Nothobranchius furzeri: one gene and its partner. The main gene of each other region encodes a partner of the protein of the gene in region 2 in a complex. Links are inferred from orthologs where the notes say so. Each region holds a gene or a part of one and is shown on either strand. Other genes may lie near its edges.

Region 1 (3,752 bases), on a different chromosome or scaffold from region 2:
GAGTCCCCTTTTCTTACCTTTAATGTGGCTTTTAAAGCCTGGGTAAGGAGTGAACACGGCGTCCGTCCTGGCACAGCTGTTTTCTACAAAGGAATCAAATCCAAAACAAAAGTGTAATTAGACTTTCTAAATGTAAGAAGAAAATAGTCATAAAAAAAAACATTAGAAATGAATACACCACACTTGAACTGCAACTTCGTCTGATTTCCATTACTGGCGTCACACACAAGCTTTGAATTTCAAACAGCCTGTGTGTCTGGTGTTTTTCTGGCCAGAGCAGGTTGCGTTTCAAGGCCGAGTGTGTTAGCTACTTCAGGCCCACTCTTGGAGCAGTTCAGCCTGACCTCTCGCCTGTGGAAATCAGCTCTCTCCCAAACATTGGCAATCTGTGTGCAGCCTCCCTCTCCACCCTGCCCCCCAATCTCTCCTCCGTTCTCACCCTGATTGCAGTCGATCACGTTGCAAAACTCGCGCACATTGTTTTCATTGATCTCCATCTGCTTGCATTCCATAAATGCAGATATTCTTCGCTCGATCTGGAGTTACAGAGAAGACAGATAATAAGACACAACGGGTTGATGAGCCACTGATAGCTGTGAAGAATTCAATGTTTTGTCGACTTATTTTTACTGATTTAGAGTAAACAAAGTTCAGCGATTTATGGTTTCAAAAAATATCAAACACAGTGAGAGAAATTATTCCAGATAGCCCAAACAGTTGAATAGATTATCGTCATCATGTGATGGAATAAGAATACGGTTTGCCTGGCTACCAAAATAAATGCACAACAGAATGGGGCCTCTTGTCCTTCATCCACATGCAATCTCAGAGTAATGAGCATCCACTTCATAATCCATCAAGGACCTGGCCCTCTCTCAAACCCCTCCAGCAATGTGGTCCATTCTACCCCACCACAGCACTACAGAACCCTTTATTCTCTGTCAAACCCAGTATCAGAACTCCATCAAGCATTTGCTGCACATCATGTGCACATCCTTGGAACCAATTACTTATGATTATTCATTTGCTTGACAGAGTGTGAAGGGCTCTAAAATATCAGTGCCAGAACAGCTGACAGATCTGTTGACAATGACCAACCTCTGACTTCCCGGCTCGGATCTGAACCATGACGTCATCGCCCGAAGACCCGCAGTCTGCAGCCTCTGAGCTGTGACGCCGGTGCTCGGATGATAGTGACGTGACAATGTTATCCGCCGTGTCTTCCTTCACAGATGTAACATCAGCTTCCACCAGTGACCTCAGGCTTTCTGAAACAGCCTACAGCCAAACAGAAAGAACACTGACTGCTACAAACACATTATAAATTAGTGTTATTATTTCTTTAATTACAACACTAGTGACCATCAATTATACTGTAAATGTGGCACTTATTAGATATTGCAGTCATATGTAACATAAATTAACCAACGGGTGAATGTCTTACCTGCAACTTAGCAATGTGCTGCTGTACACAGCCATAAACACCTGCTTCTGAAGATGACGAAAGTACTACAGCTCCAGGGTTGACCTCTATTCTCAAAGCAGCATCCCCTAATTTCAGCTTTGAGAGAAAATAAACAAGAGTTTCATCAAGTACACATCACCACAGCTAAATAAAAAATATATAGTTCAAAATAGTAGAGGCAGAAAATGCTAAATAATTTAAGTAATTTAACCAACAATTTGGTAATTAAAAAAGAAGCAATTTTTCATAATTTGCTTCTATAAACGGTCAAATTAAATAATCTTATTGTTTTACACTGAACCTTTCTGCTGTGCTAGAAAAACTAAACCATTATTTAGCAAAAAAAAACAGTGTATATAAGACTGAATACATATATTTAATGTCCCTTTAGAAGCCCTGGGTATGAAAAGAGCTAAAGCATCCAGCAATTTTAATAATTTAGACGTAAACACGGGGGGAAATAGAGCAAGGTTAAATATATTTTCTAAGGTAGAAATGCGTTGTGGACAGTGGCATCAATAAACGTTTACCTGCAGGACCAAAAATTACATAATACTGCGTAAAAATGCCAAAAACCGTGAACGTTTACTATATGGAAAAAGAGGGTAAATGAAAATAAGCGTGATTTGAACCTAAACTGACGTGTGACACAAAAGTCTGGACATGTTTTTATTGCACAGAAATACAAATATTAAAACTGAATCTGTTAATTTAGATATAAACCATCGAGCTGACGCTTTCCTACGGCAAAAACTTGATTAACGGACAGTGAATGAACATGAACCGACGAGGCTAGTTGCTAAAAACATTAGCACACCGCTAGGAAACTACTCAGACTGGAATGACTATTCGGAGCGAAGCAGCTGAATCATTTCACACCAACCTCTTTCCCAAAGTCTGAAAGCAGCCCCAGTATTGCGTCCATGCAGTGTTTGTAACTGGACATTTTAGCTGGTTCGCTGGGAGGAGCTTTGCTCTCACTTAGCTTCGTTGTCTCCGCCATTGCTACTCAAACTCATGGAATACTGCGTGCTCATTGGTTGCGAGACGGTGATTTTAATCACGTGGTTGGTGGAACTGCAGGCTAAAATGACGCATGCGCATTAACAGTAGCGCATGAAAGTAAATTCAAAGCACAAAAATAAATGATTTACTGTGTTTTGCTCAGAATTTTGATCTTTAAATAGATTCTGAAACATTAAAAAACCTGTATAGTTTTTTTTGTTTGATCCTAAAGAGGGCTCATCATAGGTAGAAAGATGCTTTTGTTTTTGTTTGTGGAGATTTAATTTCTAGAAGGCTCATTCAGAAAGCAAAAGTCAACTTTTACTAATTTAAACTATTTAATAAACTAGTACAGATGCTTAAAATTGTGAAATATGTTTCAGTATAACAAAAAAGTAAACAATAGTTTAAAAAACAGCAGAGAAAAATAAACAGAAAATGTTTTAACTTTTGAAATGGACATATTATTTAGGTTCAGTATATTTGTTTGCCTTTTCTCAGAGGATGCTCATAAGGTCATGTCTTATTTGTATAAAGCATATAAAATAAGTTTTATTCTTAAAAAACTACTAATGTTTTTATTGTGCTGATTTTTGAGGTGCTTTATGACTTAAACTCTTTTTTAAATCTTGGTTTAAATGGACTTGTCTACATTTTTACAATACTGACTGACATGTCCAAGCCACATTTGCCTACGTTTTCATTCACCTGCTTCTCAAACAGCACAAAGAATGGCTCCTTATTATAAGCACACTGTGCTTCTTACTGCAGAGGACCAAGCAGCAGGGCATTGGGATGGGAACCTGCCCACAATGGTGTATTTCTCTGAGTTGAGTGACTGTGGGAAAATCTCCCTTCTCTATTCAGACATTTTTCACTTCTTTTCATATAATGAAGAGAGAGACTGATGAAGGAAACAACAGAAAAAGAACAATTACAGGCAAAGAGACGGCACAACCATGCACTCAGAACTCAATAATGCTCTTTAGAAAGGTTAATCATTTTAGGAAGGGCTCTGAAGATAAGCCTTTTTAGCTTAATTCATTTGTAGGGTGATATTTTTTCCCGTGAAACAGGAAGAGAACTGTAACACTTGACATGGTTTGACATGCTGAGCAGTTGCTAAATGTTCCCACACAGCGAGGAGCTCTGAAATTAAATACACTGCTCATTTAATTTGCCTGGCTGCAGACCCAAGAGCTGTAATTTTTTTTACCCTTTTAATGAGCTGTATATGTGATTTAAGGTACTTCTTGGAAAATACTTAGAGCATTTTGGTTGA
Region 2 (3,652 bases):
AGGCGGGGCGAGCGGTCCAGCACGTCCTGAACCAGACGCTTCACCGCCACCGCTCTCTGAAGCTACAGAGACGGCCAAAGATCAGCTCATTTTAACTCGGAAGAGTCCGATCACAAAGTTTAAGCATTGTAGACCCTCGCTGCTTAAACTATTTAGCAACATGCATGAATAAGCATTAATATTCACGGTATCCCACATACGGCTCAGAATACAGTATTAGTCAAAGAGATGATGTGGCAGAAACACACATCCAACTAGAGAGAGAAGAGATGCAGCTGGAAGACGGATTAAAATGCAAAACTGCAGCCGCGGCGAATCATCACGTCGTGTACTCCATCAAAGTGAGTAAAAACACGGTCATACTTCTCTTCTCCACAAGAACAGCAATGAATCATTTACTATGTTGATGAAACACGAGGCTAGTACAGCATGAAGACGAGTAAAACTGAAGATAACGGTGAGAGGTGGACATAAGATTTCATCAAAACAAAATCAAAAGGTTACCTCTGACGCTCTGCGTTTGCCAATGTTCCAAGAATAATACTGTTCTACTGAGGAGGCACAAAAGGGATGGGAGTCTTCAGCTATGTAAAAATAAAGCAGCGTTACATTTAAAGAGTGTCTTCAGTCGGTTTATAAATATGAAATCTAATTGTATTTACTTTTTTCTGGCACAATTAGAGGAAACTTCTTCACCACAGCCGTCAGCAGCTGCATCATGGTTTCGATGTGCTCAGTGCTGAGAGGAAAGAGCTTTGGATTAACATCAGAACATCATCTGCATTTGTGTTTAAAGAGACAGCGGCGTTGCTCTTACTTAATGAGGCAGTGTGCTGAGTTATCTGTGCCTTGTTCCTGTTTGACGGTGGTGGCTGCAGAAGCAACATGGACAGGGGCTGGAGCAGCAGCCGTCGCCAGGGGCGACGGACCAGCTGCGACGGCACCTGGTTCTGTTTTCACTGTGGCAGCGGAGAGCGACAGCAGATGTGTATATGTGGGGGAGATAAATGTTATTAGGAATCACAAACATATTTAGACTTGTATAAAAGATTATTACTCTGAACTATTTCATCACAAATCAACACATGTAATTTATATTTTAAAGGGAACTAGGCAGTCTTGGCTTGCTTTTGGCACCCCCTAGAGTCCATTTATAGAACTGAAAGCAAAACTTATCTCCTCGCTTTCCCCCCAGCCTTCCTTAGTATCTACAGGAGTCATTCATTCATTTGGGGCAGCAGTAGCTCAGGTGGTAGAGCGCGTTGCCTCATGATCGGAGGGTCATGGGTTCGATTCCAGCTCCCACCAGGGGTATCCTGCTGTTGTGTCCTTGGGCAAGACACTTCACCCAACTTGCCTGTGTTAGTGGTGGTCAGAGGGGCCGACGGCGCCAAATGGCAGCCTCGCCTCTGTCAAACCTCCCCAGGGCGGCTGTGGCTACAAGTAGCTTATCATCACTAGCAGTGTGTGAATGTGAGTGTGTGAAAGCGTCTTTGGGGGTCTAGAAAAGCGCTATATAAGTTCAATGCATTATTATTATTATTATTATTATTCATCACTAAATTACACAAATCAGATGTGTTCATAATCTAAAACATCCAGGAAATGTGCTGGAACCAGACTGCAGCACCAGGTATGTCAACTCCTTTTGTCTAAGTCCCAACAGAGCTGCCCGCCAGTCTGAAGTTGCAAGTGGAATACTCTGGTCACAGGTGGCGATGGGGGCTGGGTGTCATTTCATTAACCATGTAAAGGGTCATTTTAGCACATAGTGGCTCAAGAAAATGATTGAAAAAGTAGCTAAATGTCCCATTAATAAGACTCTAATGGTTTGGATTATGTTCATCAGCTTTAAACACAACTATCAAACTATTTGCTTCGTCTTCAGTGGCCAATGTTTGATTCTGACAGCTCAAACATAAAAATGGAGTTAGGAAGAAAGAGAGGAGAGGGTGGAGTGACAATGGACCCCTCTCACCTTGTGCTAAAGGCGGGATAAGGGAGGAGGAGACCTGGCTGGAAAGACCTGAGGAGGCTCCAGCTGCTCCAGGAGGAGTGGATGAAGAGGAGAAGGAGGGAGGAGTATTGGAGACTGGGCCTTTAGACAGACAGACAGACAGACAGACGGACGGACGGACGCACGCACGCACACACGCACGCACGCACGCACACACACACACACACACACACACACACACAGAAGGGTCAATGTCCTGCTAGGTAAACAGTAAGACAAAAAATGAGATGAGAGGATATTGGTAACAATAAGATATTTCCAGATGATGGAGCGCATCTCAGATTTATTTTAAAATTACATCAAGTTCAGAACAACTAAAGAAGTAATCCAGGATCAGTTTTGGGATTCTGTTTAACTTCAACACTAGCGAGATTATTCTGTGTTCATGGAGTGGGCTTACCTTTACTGACAGGCATGAATATGGATTGCAGTCCAGCAGACCCAGTTCCAACCCCTAGCTGCTTCAGCTGGGTGGCAGGGATGGTTAAAACGGTCTGCTGGGAGCTGGAACCAGCAGACTGGATCTTCAGCATACCTGGCCAAAAACCACAAGGTGAGATCATTTGCACACCCATGTGTTGTGCATAAACATATGATTGTAGGTTGTGGTGTGTTCCTCCACACCTGACAGTGCAGCACTTGTTTTTCCTGCTCCAGCTGCCACTCCGCTGACTAACGACGCCGCAGAAACTAATGGAGTGTTGCTGCTTTTGGACACCCCCACCACAGTCCCAGCTCCAGCTCCTTTGGACGTGCTCATGACGGGCAAATTTGTGACACCTTTTGCCACCATCACTGCGGCAACGGCTGAACTTCCTGCACTCTTACTTGGGGAGGCGGAGCTTCCAGCTCCTTTGACCAAAGAGGCCACAGCTGCCTTGGACAGACTGCCGCCGCTGGCTGTGCCGGCGTTCTTAGCTGCGCTGATTACTGCCGCCTGGCTGGCTGACACCAGCAGTTGCTGTTGCTGGGAGGCAGACTTCCCGCCATCAGCAGCCTGGATAAAGATACAGAAACACATCTGTCAACCAAAAAAATGTGCAGAAATACTGCACCTCTCATGCATGTATAAAGCAGAAAAAAAAAAATCCTGACATAGTTTATGTTTTAAATAAATAAAATTTTGACAGCACTCTGCAGCCCTCTGCTGACCAGAAACTGCTCTTAAATATTTTGTGGTTCCGGTAGGGGTACTACCTGCTTTACGACAATAAACGTCTACTGTGCTGGTAGCTCATATAAAGGCTAGCTGTTAGCCATTTCAGTTTCACCGGCCGTCAATAAATAGTGCAAGATGAAATAGTTTACTTTTTTGTTGGCATCATGGCGGAGCCTGGAAATTAAAGTAAGAGAATGATGGCTTTGGAGGCAGAGCAAAGAGCAACAACTAGAGTGAACATCAACACGACCTACACTCGTTTGAGGACAATAAAGGAGGCATTGAAATGAAAGGTTTATGGTGACCTGGCTTTGTTGTAACTTATAAGCAATATTCTGGTCCAAAAGTGTGAATTGATTAGATTAAGCCACACTTGAGATAAGAATGAAAAATAACTAGGACCAGTAATTTGACAACACACACACACACACTTCTACAACCTCCAAGGTGCTTCGCAACACAATCAGTCATTCACA

What was found.
Region 1: yeats2 (region 2) and mbip share a complex: the UniProt entries of both Homo sapiens proteins name them as parts of the ADA2A-containing complex. The link is inferred for Nothobranchius furzeri from reciprocal best matches to the Homo sapiens genes YEATS2 and MBIP.

The regions. Positions count from the first base shown.
Region 1 is NC_091758.1:21,136,970-21,140,721, forward strand, and holds the start of mbip (MAP3K12-binding inhibitory protein 1), read right to left. Parts: upstream 2,508-3,752; 5' UTR 2,469-2,507; coding exon 2,349-2,468; intron 1,562-2,348; coding exon 1,445-1,561; intron 1,279-1,444; coding exon 1,099-1,278; intron 537-1,098; coding exon 440-536; intron 84-439; coding exon 18-83; intron 1-17. UniProt on the Homo sapiens protein: Inhibits the MAP3K12 activity to induce the activation of the JNK/SAPK pathway. Component of the ATAC complex, a complex with histone acetyltransferase activity on histones H3 and H4.
Region 2 is NC_091751.1:55,945,825-55,949,476, reverse strand, and holds part of yeats2 (YEATS domain-containing protein 2), read right to left. Parts: intron 3,015-3,652; coding exon 2,642-3,014; intron 2,553-2,641; coding exon 2,418-2,552; intron 2,099-2,417; coding exon 1,979-2,098; intron 960-1,978; coding exon 818-959; intron 740-817; coding exon 663-739; intron 585-662; coding exon 505-584; intron 63-504; coding exon 1-62. UniProt on the Homo sapiens protein: Chromatin reader component of the ATAC complex, a complex with histone acetyltransferase activity on histones H3 and H4. YEATS2 specifically recognizes and binds histone H3 crotonylated at 'Lys-27' (H3K27cr).